3 linked regions of the Lonchura striata genome follow. The protein of the gene in region 3 interacts with the protein of the main gene of each other region in a biochemical or structural test. Links are inferred from orthologs where the notes say so. Each region holds a gene or a part of one and is shown on either strand. Other genes may lie near its edges. The genes, in order: BCL11B, BCL11A and NR2F1.

Evidence for each region.
Region 1: the proteins of NR2F1 (region 3) and BCL11B form a complex in vitro, tested with the Homo sapiens proteins (2 studies listed by BioGRID). The link is inferred for Lonchura striata from reciprocal best matches to the Homo sapiens genes NR2F1 and BCL11B.
Region 2: the proteins of NR2F1 (region 3) and BCL11A form a complex in vitro, tested with the Homo sapiens proteins (2 studies listed by BioGRID). The link is inferred for Lonchura striata from reciprocal best matches to the Homo sapiens genes NR2F1 and BCL11A.

What each region holds. Positions count from the first base shown.
Region 1 is NC_134608.1:12,724,467-12,728,208, reverse strand, and holds the start of BCL11B (B-cell lymphoma/leukemia 11B), read right to left. Parts: upstream 2,223-3,742; 5' UTR 1,783-2,222; coding exon 1,725-1,782; intron 1-1,724. UniProt on the Homo sapiens protein: Key regulator of both differentiation and survival of T-lymphocytes during thymocyte development in mammals.
Region 2 is NC_134605.1:25,460,025-25,463,766, reverse strand, and holds the start of BCL11A (BCL11 transcription factor A), read right to left. Parts: upstream 2,913-3,742; 5' UTR 2,879-2,912; coding exon 2,542-2,878; intron 1-2,541. UniProt on the Homo sapiens protein: Transcription factor. Associated with the BAF SWI/SNF chromatin remodeling complex. Binds to the 5'-TGACCA-3' sequence motif in regulatory regions of target genes, including a distal promoter of the HBG1 hemoglobin subunit gamma-1 gene.
Region 3 is NC_134642.1:68,476,110-68,479,851, reverse strand, and holds the start of NR2F1 (COUP transcription factor 1), read right to left. Parts: upstream 2,461-3,742; 5' UTR 2,392-2,460; coding exon 1,941-2,391; intron 1,741-1,940; exon of another isoform or gene 1-1,740. UniProt on the Homo sapiens protein: Coup (chicken ovalbumin upstream promoter) transcription factor binds to the ovalbumin promoter and, in conjunction with another protein (S300-II) stimulates initiation of transcription. Binds to both direct repeats and palindromes of the 5'-AGGTCA-3' motif.

The sequences.
Region 1 (3,742 bases), on a different chromosome or scaffold from region 3:
AAAAATTATATACACATATATATCTCGAGTCCCAAGGAAATCTAACAAACAGAAATTTATCACCGGTAACAAAGAAAGAGAAGAGCTCGCAAGCACCAAATGCTCCTGGCAGATGGCTCCTATTCTTGGCTTTCAGGGGAGGGGAGAGAAGCCGGGGAAATATTTTATTTATTTATTTAAATTTTTTAAAATCTCAACATAAATATTCGGATCCGCCGCGGCTCAGGCTCAGCCCCGGGCTGGCTCCGTGCGAGCCGCCGCCCCCCGCAGCACAACAACTTGCGGACTCGTTTTGCGGGGCGGGGGGGGGGGCAGGGGTCCGACCGGGCTTGTCGGGTGCGGGGCCACGGCGTGCCGGGCATTTTTTTTACCACCCCCCAAACTTGTCCTATGCTATAGGAGGGAGATGGGGACCCCCCTGACCTCCCCCTTCCCCGTGCCCCGGAGGCGTGGGAGCAGCGGGGAGCGCTGGGGGCCGCACGCCCCCGGAGGCGCCCCCACATCTCCCCCCCGCCTCGCTGCACAGGCCCCGGGGGCCGGGAGCGGCGGAGCAGCGGAGTGGGGCGCCCGCTCGGGGACCTGCCCCCTACTCTGCCTGCAGGCACTCGCCCCTCTCCCGGAGCTTTAGGGGTGGGAACGGGGAGGAGGGGGATTCTGATGCTGGGGGGAGGGGGGATGCCTCTTTCCCTCCCCCCCCCCCTCTATTTTTTCCTTCCCTATTTTTTTTTTTGGGGGGAGGGCGTAGGGGGGGCGGGAGGGAGTATATGTGTGTATTTTCACTTACAATGGGAGCTTCAGCAAAGTGCTGCCTCCACTCCTGCCCCGCAGGCGAGCCGGTGCCGCTGCCCGACCCGCATTTCGTGCACTCCATCCCCGGTCCCCGCCTCGGCTTTCCTCGCGCCCCCCGCCACCGACAGACACTCCAGCCCGCACCCGGCTCCTCGGCAGCCCCTGCCCTGCCTCTAGCCCCAGCCGAGCTGGTCCTGCCTTGCCCCGCGCTTCGGAGAGTTCTTTTCCCCCGCCGGCGATGCACCTGGGGCGGGCAGGGCGCAGCTGGCCGTCTACCTGCCCCGCGCTCCGGGGCCGGGGCTCGGCCCCGCCGCCGCCGGCCCACAGCCTCCATGTGCTTCCCGCTAAGTCCCCCCGGCCGTTCCGCGTCTCCCTCCCTTGCTGCCCACCTTGATCCTCCTTCCCCCACCCTCCGCGGCTGTCACGCCGAGGCAAGGCTCTCGGCCAACTTTTCCCACCGCTCCGTGTTACCCCCGGAGCAAGGAGCGAGGAGCGGGGCCGCGGGCGAGCGGCGGAGCCCCGGCGGGGCCCGGGGTGGCCCGGCCCGGCGCGGAGCAGCGCGCCCCGCTCCGCCGCCCCCCGCGCACGCAGCCGCTGCCCGGGAGAGCCCCGCGCCGCCCCACGCCGCGCTCTGCCCGCCGGCAGCTCCTTCCCCGCTCCACGCCGCCTGGCCGCCTCACCTCCGCACCGCTGCAAAAACGCACAGCAAACTTCGGGCTTCTCCCCCCCTCCACCCCCAGCCCATCCCCCCCGCCGCACACCCCCCTCCCCTCTTTAATTCCCTTCTCCTCTCCCTCTCTCTGAAGTCATTTACCAGCTTTGGTTGCTCCTGGAGTTTCCCCCACACACACACCCCCCCTTCCCCAACCGCTTCCTCCCCTTCCCTAATTTTGCTTCTCGATTTCGGCTCGTTCTGGTTCCAAGTTCAAACTTACGTGTGATAATCTCTCTTTGTGACAAGTGCTGCGGGTTTCCCTGCTTGCGACGGGACATTGCCCTGGCATTTACACTGGCATCGCCTGGAGAGCTGCACTGGTTTGGGGGGATGTGCTGGGGGGCCGATCCTCCTCCTCCTTTTTTCCCCTCTTTATTCTTCTTCTTCTTTATCGAGTTCTTCTTTCAAAAAAATCAAAAACGAAAAAAAAAAAAACCGCCTCCTTTTTGTTGCTGCTGTGGTGCACTGGTTGGGATTCCCTCTCAATTAAAAATCATCATCATCAGGAAAAGCTCTTTCTCGCTCTTTTTCTCTTTCACACACTGTCTTTTCTCCACTGCTTCTGCCACTTGGACTTCCAGATCTCTTCTTGAACTTAGGAGGATGTGCACCGCCAGTGACACTTTTCTCTTTCCCTCTTTCCAGAGTGCTTGGCAAATTGGCAAGTTCGCTTTTCCACCAAGAGGGTAAAAAAAAAAAAAAAAAAAAAGAAAAAGAAAAAAAAGAAAAAAAATTTAAAAAACTGTATTAAAAAAAAGAAGAAGAAAAGTACTAGAATTGGGATAGCCCCCACTAAAAAAAAAAATCGCCAAAAAAAAATGTTTCTCAGAGATTGACCCTTGCTGGGTAGATATACAGAGAGAATTTTTTTAAAAGGGGTAGCCGAAACTGTGTCTCCTCTTTCCCAGTTCAAGTGGCACTGCTTTGCCCTGGTGCTTTTGGATTGCCAGTGCTCCTGCACCACTTTGCACTCTTCCCCCCTCGCCTGGCACTGGGACTGGAAGGAAGGAAGCCCCCAGTGCAGCTGGGCTGGTGCTGGCTATTACTATTATATATTGCAATGTGAAGATGGCGGAGTCCTGGTTCTCTGGGAGCGCTCTGTCTCTCTATGGCTGGGGCTGCCTCTGTACAATGGGATAAAATTCAAGTTCAAGTGCGGACGTGACGTTTAATCTGCACTAGAGACAAAAAGACCCAGAGAGTAGGAGCACTGGGGGCGACTAGCGGTGGCTTTTTAACATTGTACCCTGCAAGAGAACAAGAAACGCCACTCGCACACACCGCACACACCGCACACGCACACACACCGCACACACACCAACTACGGCACACGCAGGGCTCGCCGCCGCTCCGGGCTTTGTGCAGCGCCGCTTTCAGCGCGCGGAGCGCCGGCGGCCAGGGAAAGAGAGGGGGGAAGGAATAAATCCGCATCCTCACGCACGGCCAAACTTCCTGAGCCCGGCGCCGGCCGCGGCGGGGGCGGCTCGGCCGGGGGAGGGTGCCGGGGTCCGCGGGGGGCGGCGGCGGCGCTGCCCGCCCGTGCCGCCGCCTCGCCGCCGCTCATCGCGGCCGCCGCTCTCCGCCGCCCGGGCTCGGCGCTGGGTCCTGCTCCCTCCGTCCCTGCCCAGGAGCGGAGGCTCCCCAGGGGTCGCAGGCTGTTCTTCCTTCCCTCCAGGCACCGCCGCAGCTCCTCGGCGGCGAGCGCGTTCCCCCTGCATTTCTTTCAAACAGTTTTACAACAACACAAATATCTGTGTGGGCTGGGGAAAGGGATTTTTCCCCCTCCTCTCTCCCTACCCGAAGTGCGATGGTAGCGGGACACGCGCGCACACTCGATCCGCACACGCACACACGCTCCGACCTTCTCCCACCCCCCAACCCCCCTTCCCTTAAAATCCTGGCAGAGACTATTTTTCCTTGGAGAAATTAAGTCTCAGCCACGAACGGAGAGACGCCGAGCTCCCAGAAGCTGCATCCCAGTGCACTTGTCCTCCTATTTCACACGCAGGTAAATGCCCACAACTGCGTGCATTTCTAACTTGGAAGATTCTTGGAAGCCAACTTTTTCCCCTCTACCTCCGTTCTCCCGGTCCATCTCCAGAAATTGTTTTCTCTCTCCCTCCTCCCCCGATAAGTAAACAGTTCGGTGCAAATAGCTTTTCAGCACCAGGTCTGGCCAGGGCGAGAGGAACGGGGTAGAGGGGAGGCCTGAGGGCTCGGAGGCAGATGGAGCAGAAA
Region 2 (3,742 bases), on a different chromosome or scaffold from region 3:
GGAATATGAAGGTTACATTCGTATTAATAAAAACAATGTCTTAATCGCTAGGGCTTTCTTCTAAACTTACAGACCAACAGGAGAGGAGGCACAACGTGCGTCTCATGCTCCTCGGGAAGCCGGCAGAGGAGCGGGGTGTTTCTGAGGGATTGCCGGGCATGGCGTTTTTCTCCCTAAGCCGATCCTTGCGTTCGGACCGAGGGAATAAATTATTTCAGGTCTAATTCCACCGGTAGCTCGCTGCTCGCCGCAGACAAAGGTATTTTGCAAATCTAACTTCGATCTCACCGACTCTTCGCAGCAAAACGACACAAAACCACCCGTGCTCCCCTTGCAACTGGCTTAGTGAGGAGCTCTGCATAATCATTACTCAATTATAATGTTTTCCTGATTCCTTTCTGACGCTGTCATTATTATTTAGCAGGGGAAGGTAACCCGCTGCTTCGACACCAGACAGTTAAAAGTGGCACTGAGCGAAAAAAGACTTTGCTAAAAGTCTGTACGGACTGGGCTGATTTACAATCAAAACCAGGAAATGAAGTGGTAATTCAGAGGTTGCTGATTACACCTCCACATTTCACCTAATTAATTTTATAGGAGGCAAAGTTCTTGAAAATAACAAGATGATCAAATGTACAGATATAAAACCTGTAACCTCAACATTTTCTATGCTCTTAACGTAAATTATTGCTAATTAACAAGAATTATATACCAAAGTATGAAATACGGCTGGCACTGTGTTCGCTGCAAAACATTTGGCTCCCGATGGAGGCAGAGCCAGAAAAAAAAATGCTTTTTATTATTACTGCTACTTTTAGAACATAATATAAAATACCGGGATTACGAAAAAAACACCAGATTTCACCTGGTTTTGCCTCCGATTTGCAGGATGCATCTTTTAATTCTGGGGCAATCAAAATTCTCTGGCTGGGTCCCTAATCATCCGTCTCTATTTTTCATGCAAATTGCCCTTCCACCAACATGTCTTTTCAGCTTTCCCCCTTCGCCCTCCTACTCCCCCCTTTTTTTCCCTGTTCCCAGCCACCAGAACAACCGCACCGGCAAAAGAGGGATGGATTTTGGAGTGCCGGGAGAAAGGAGGTACTGGGGGTGATGGGGCGGGGAGGGGGGTGCCACAGTACGGTGAGGAGAAATGCCCGCGGGGCAATGCAGATGCGCTGCTGGGGCATTTTCCTGCACCGTACCGTGGGAAGGATGGAGAAGGGCTGTTTAATCCCAAGTTTGTGTCTTCGGATCACAGCGGTGCGAGGAAAGGGAGACTTGGGGGCACAATAGGAACCGCCAACACGTTATGGGGAGGGAGGGGAAACCCGGGGAGGGGGAAGGCGAGCATCCCCGCTACATCCCGGAGCAAGCAAACTCCGCGCAAATTAAGAACAAAGAAGAGGGAAGAGGGGCGTGGGGGGGTGGGGGGGTGGATGGGAGGGAGCTGGGCGCCCTCCCCCTCCCGCCGGCCGGGAGGCAGCGGAGGAGCCGGCCAGGTTCAAGTTCGCGGGGCTGCCCGGTTGTTTGATCTCGCTGTGCCTCCTAGCGACCGAAGCGGGCACGGATCCCGCCCGCCGCCTCCGCCCCGGCCCCAGCCCCGGCCCCGGCCCCGCCGCCGCATCCCTGGCGCGCCGCTCCCTCGGCCCGGCCTCCCTTTCCCCCCCCCAGCTCCCGGCCCACCCACACCCCCCTCCCCATCGCCGGGGCGGCTCTCGCCGGAGGAACCCCCCGGGCCTGTCCCGGCCGCCGCTCCTGGCCCGCACGTGCGCGCACTCCGCGCCGGCCCGCGGGTCTGTCGGCGGCGAGAACCGGCCGCGGGATCCCGCCCGTCGCCGCTGCCCCGGGGGCCGAGCCTGAGCCCCCCACCCCCTCCTCCAGTCCCGCCGCGATCCCCGTTCCCCGCATCCCACTTCCACGACTGCCCGGGAAAAGCACCCCCGTACCCCATTTCCGGGGGCGGGGGGGGAGGCATGCCCATATGCCAGCGATGCTGCGCCCCATCCCTAGCCCGGCAATGAAAAAAAAAAAAAAAAAAAAAAAAAGAGGCGGAAAAAAAAGGCTTTCCGAAAAGTATGAGGAGAAAGAGACGGCGGGGGGAGGGGCTGAGCCCCCGACACCCCCCGGGTTCTTAGGGCAGACTTTGGGCACTCAGAGCCCCCGGGCGGCCCTGCTCGCGGCGGAGCGGACGCCTGCAAAGAGCCAGCGCTGCTTCCTTCCCTCCATGTGCGAACCTGACTGCAATGTTTGGGCGGCCGTGGGGGAAGAGAACCCGCGGCGGAAAGTTTGGGGGGCTTTGCGAAGGGCCGAGGGAGCCGGGGATGGTTGGCAGGAAGAAATGGCCCTGGGTCTTCTGCCATCCCTGGGAGGGAACAAAACCCGTCGGGACTAATGGGAGAGGGAGAAAGGAAGAAATAAAGAAAAGGGGAGGAAAGGAGTGAGGAAAAACATGCAGCATTTCCCCTTCCCCCAGGTTCACCCCGAGGAAAAGGGGATATTTTTTTTTCGCCCTTCCTTCCCACCCCCCTCGCCCCAAACCTTTCCAGCTCGAGTTGCCTTTTGTTGTGAAAAGAGCGCTCCCGCTTATCTTGCATCTAGCCCTGGTGTGTGTGGCGGCGGCTGGAGGGAGGGACGGAGGGAGCCGGAGAGTTTTTGTTGCGAACGGTGTGGTGGGGCTCGGGGTTTGTTTTTTCACTCCCGGGGAGAGCGCATTTGGTTTGGGGTTGAAATGCGGCGGCGAGAAAGGGCCGTTCGCGGGTGTGAGGGTGCGAGTGTGTGTGTGTGCGTGTGAGCGCGCGTGTGTGCTCAGCCCGGGCTCGCTCTCGCCTGTGTTTGTTGGCAGGAGGCTCCCCGCACACGCGGTGCTTGTAAACATTCAGACACGAGATTTTTCCCAATCAAAATCCACTTCCACTTTTTTTTTTTTTTTTTTTTTGAAAATCTTCCAAAAAATAGTAAGCGAGAGGGAGAACGCGAGGCGAGGGCGAGGAGGGAATCCCAGCCGGCGCGGCGCGGCTCGGCTCGGCTCCCTCGCCGCCCGGTGCCGTCCCCCGCCCCAGCCCCAGCCGGAGCGGCGGCGGGGCGGGCGCGGGGCGAGGTCGGGGCGACGGAGCCCCGCACGGCGCCGGCCCGAGGCGGCGGGGAGCGGCGGGACGGCCACCCCGCACCCCGCGGCGGAAACAAAAGGGAGGCGTCCCCGCTTGGCTCGGCTTTGCCTCCCCCCCCGCCAGGAGGGAGCCGCGGGGCGAGGGGGCGACCCCGCCGGCAGTCGGGGGGGCTCCGGCCGCCGGACTTTCTCCGCGCTCCGCTCGCCGCCCATCCCGCCCGCCCGGCCACCGCCGTGTCCGGCGTCCAGCCCGCCGCTCCCGCAGGAATTTCTTCCCACTTTCGGCCGGTTGTGCCCCCGGCAGCCCCGCACCTCGTCCGCGCCTTTCCTGGTGCCGGGCGAGAGCTGCCGCTCTTGCCGCCAAAGAGCGCGGAGAGCGGGAGACGAGAGGAGAGCGTGGAGCGGGGCAGCGGAGTGCGCGCCGGCGGGCGAGGGGCACGGGCAGAAAAAGAAGAAAAGTCATCAAGGTGATTAAATTAGAGAGGCAGAAATTGCCCGGAATGCTGAGAATCCCGAGCCGGCGCTGAGTTAATTTTTTCCCCGACTCGCTCAATGGCTCTCACTTTTAATTTTTTTTCCCTACTCTCTCTCTCGAATTAAAAATTAAATCAGTGTAGGGTAAATTAAATAAAT
Region 3 (3,742 bases):
TTATTCCTTCAGTGCCAGCGTTTGCAACCGCTTGCCATGTAAACAAATGTAACTTCAGGGGAAGATACGGCTACTCAGGCTTGTACCCTGCACACACAGACACCCCGCACAACCGCACACGTTTGCAGGCACACACCCGCACATGCAATCACTCATGTTTCCGGCGCGCCACATTTTTCTCAACTTTCTCTTTTCTTCCCCGACGAGCCCTCCTCCCACCCGGGCCAGATCTCTGTCCTGCTGCCCTTCAGCCTACCTCTCCCTCTTCAATCTACTTGTAAACTTGGCAGATATTTTTCATTTAACTGCATGCATAATTCTCACTTTTTTTTTTAATTTTTTCTCCTTCCTTTAAAAAAAAATTTGCTTGCCTCCACTCTCCTAGGTGCCTACCAACAGCCCCTGCAACTACCAATGAAGCCATCATATTTGTGAGCTCTTTCAGATCTGGAGCAGCCTAATTCAAATTCTTTTTCCGTGGCATATAAAATACAGTTTTAAAATCCCTGCTCTGCAAAATCACCTATTTTGCTGACGTGACATCTTTAGAACATCTTTAACGACAGTCACAGGGTAAACTTTAAACCGAGAGAACATGTTTCAAGGAGAAAGGAGGGCAGCAATTCTCCCTACACGAGGATGAGTCTGAACGCAAGGAAAACCACAGACAACTTTTGGAAAGAAGGAGAAAAAAAATCAGCAGAGCGCTTGGAAATAGTGGGGACCCCGTGCCAGATGCAGGCTGCGGATGCTGCTAAAATGAGAAGAACCGGTAAAGAGGTTATAAATCGAGATTTGTATGAAGACTTTAAGGAGAGGGTGGAGTTTGATGCAGAAATAAAATGAGCAGCGCACTTAAAAAAAAAAAAAAATGACAGAAGTACAGAAACACGGTTCAGTCACAAACTTTCCTTTGAATGCATGGAATGAAAACAAGGCCAAATCTCTCACAGAAGCACACTCCTGGGCACCGGGAAGCACATGGAAGCGAAGACAGAGTAGCACATTTCCTCCCCTTTTCTTTTTTTTTTTTTTTTTCCCTTTTCTCCCTTCTATCTTTTTCACACCCTTTCCTCTTTCTTTAATTACAAGTCTTTCATCTTTCTTTCGGGTAAAATGAGCCTGAGAGATGAATCTCAAATACCGAGAGGTATTGCAGGTTTAAAAAGAAATGATGGGGTGGAAAGGGGGTGGGGAGGGGGTGAGGGGGAAGGAAGCTGAATGGAGTCACATCTCGTACGGGAGAAAGATGTATCTCCCCCCACCCTCCGGTCTCATGCCAACAATAGACAAAACCACATCTAAAACACGCACACGCACACACGCATACACGCGCGAGCAGGGGGAAGTGGGGATAGCGGCTAAATGATAAATATTTAGCAAGCGATTGTAATAATAGTAGTAATAATAATAATAATAATAAATTCTCTGCACAATTATCAGGAAAGGGGAGAGTGTGGCAGTGCTGTAGAAGGGGGTGGGGAGGAGCGGGAGGGAGGGCAGGAGGCACACACCGAAAAGCAAAAGAAAACACCACCAACCACCATCGACAATAACAACAGAACCTGGTGCAAAGCTGCCAGATGGAGTGCAGGCAGAGGAAGAGATTGACATGTGCATGGAAATATATAGAGAGTCCTGGCTGGATTGCTACGGAGAGCTGTAAATATATATATATATATATATATATATATATATGCACATATATATATATGTGTGTGTGTATTTATTTTTACATATTTATATTTATATGTGTGTGTGTTTGCACGCCGCGCGTGTGCGCGCGCGCGTGTGTGTATAGCTATATGTATATGCATATAGGTGCGCGTGTGTGCGCGTACGGACAGGCAGACACAGACAGACGGAGAGCCCTCGCACACGCACGCCTGCACAGCCAAGGGGAGAGGGGAGCGATAGCATAGTAGTGAAGAAATATTCACCTTCCCGCCTCATGCCCACTTTGAGGCACTTCTTGAGGCGGCAGTACTGGCACTGGTTGCGGTGGTGCTGGTCGATGGGACAGTTCCTGTTGGCGCGGCATGTGTAAGTTAAGTTCCTGCGGACGCTCCTCTTGAAGAAACTTTTGCAGCCCTCGCAGGTGAACTGGCCGTAGTGCTTGCCGCTGGACTTGTCTCCGCACACCACGCATTCGATGTGCTGCTGGCTCTGCCCCGAGCCCTGCTGGCCCGCTCCCTTGTCTCCGGCCGTGCCCGGCGTGGAGGGGGGTCCCGGCTGGCTGGGGGTCTGCGGGGTGTGTGGGGTGGCCGAACTCCCCTGCTGCTGGGGCTGCTGCTCCCGGGCCGGCTGCGTCGCGGCCGGGTTGGGGCCGCTCGGAGTGCCCCCGGCCACGTCTTCCTGCGGATCTCGCCAGCTGCTAACTACCATTGCCATATCTCGGGCCCAAAAAAGTGCTGGGGAGCGGCGCGTCTCGCTGCGGGCTGCCGGGGAGTGAGGCGGGGGGCGGGGGGGTGGCGGCCGCCCGGGCGCCGGGGGCGAGCGGAGAGCGAGGGGACCCTTGCTGCCGCCTGCCTCCGCCTCTGCTGCCTCCGCCGCTGCCCTGCTGCCGCCGCCGCTGCTGCCGGCTGGAGCCGCTCCTGCCGTTTTCTTTATTTTATTTATTTTTCGCCGCCGAGAGCCCCCCTCCTCTCGCTCGCGCTCTTGCTAATTTTTTTTTTAGAGAGGGGGAGGGGGCGACGGAGGATTTTCTCTTTCTCTCTTCCCCCCCCCTTTCCTTTCCTTTTCCTCCCTTCCTTTTCCTTTCCTTTCCTTCCCTGCCCTTTCCAGCGCTCCCCCCTCTTTAAAATACCCCCGCCTGACCGCTTCTCCCCTCTGCTCCCGCTCTCCCCGGCTCTCACTGCCTCTCCTCGCCCTCCCCCCCCCCCCCCCCCCCCCCGCCGCCACTTCAAGTTGCAAAATCAGAAACGGCAAACAAGGCTGTCGGGAGAGGCATTCAGGAGAGTAACACGCCGGACACGCACACGCAGGCAGACACGCGCGCAGATGCCCGGCACACGGCTCCCCACTCGCGCACACGCACACACGCACGGGCACAGGCACACGCGGTCCGGGCGCTACGAGCGCGGAGGATGTGCAGGCATAGAGGAAGCCGCGGCGCCGCCGAGGAGGAGGAGGAGGAAAAGGAGGAGGAGGTGGAGGAGGAGGAGGGGAAGGAAGAGGAGGAGGAGGAGGTCGCCGCTCGCCGCTCGTCGCCGCCGGGGCTCGGCCGCCGCCGCTCCCGCGGAGGCTGCTGCCGCTGTCGCTGCCGCCGGTGCCGGTGTGGGCTCTCGGGGAGGCGGGAGGTCGAGAGAGGAGCCGCTCGTCGGCGATCAGAGTATGGAGGTGTCCGGGGGCCAGGTCCAGGGCAGTGCGCCGTCAGCCATTCAGGGCGGTGGAGCCGGGGAGCTCGGCGGAGGCGGGCAGGGAGCTGAGGCAGTTTGATCTCCTGTCGCGGCGGCAGGGAAGGAGGAGGAGGAGGTTGCCGGTCGCTGCTCTTTCTCTCCCGAGCTGCTCTCTCTCGCTCTCTGTCTCTCTCGCTCGCTCGCGCTCTCTCTCGCCTTTTTTTTTTTTTTTTTTTTTTTTTTTTTTTTTTTTTTAAATCGCAGAAAAAAAATCGGATGTGACTAAATTCGCAGAGGAGACGAATTCACGGCGAAGTGTAAAAATAGAGAACGGGAATAATAACGACACTTGCAGGAAAAAGAGAGATCCAAAGTAGGTCGGTAAATAAATCCTCTTCTCTTTC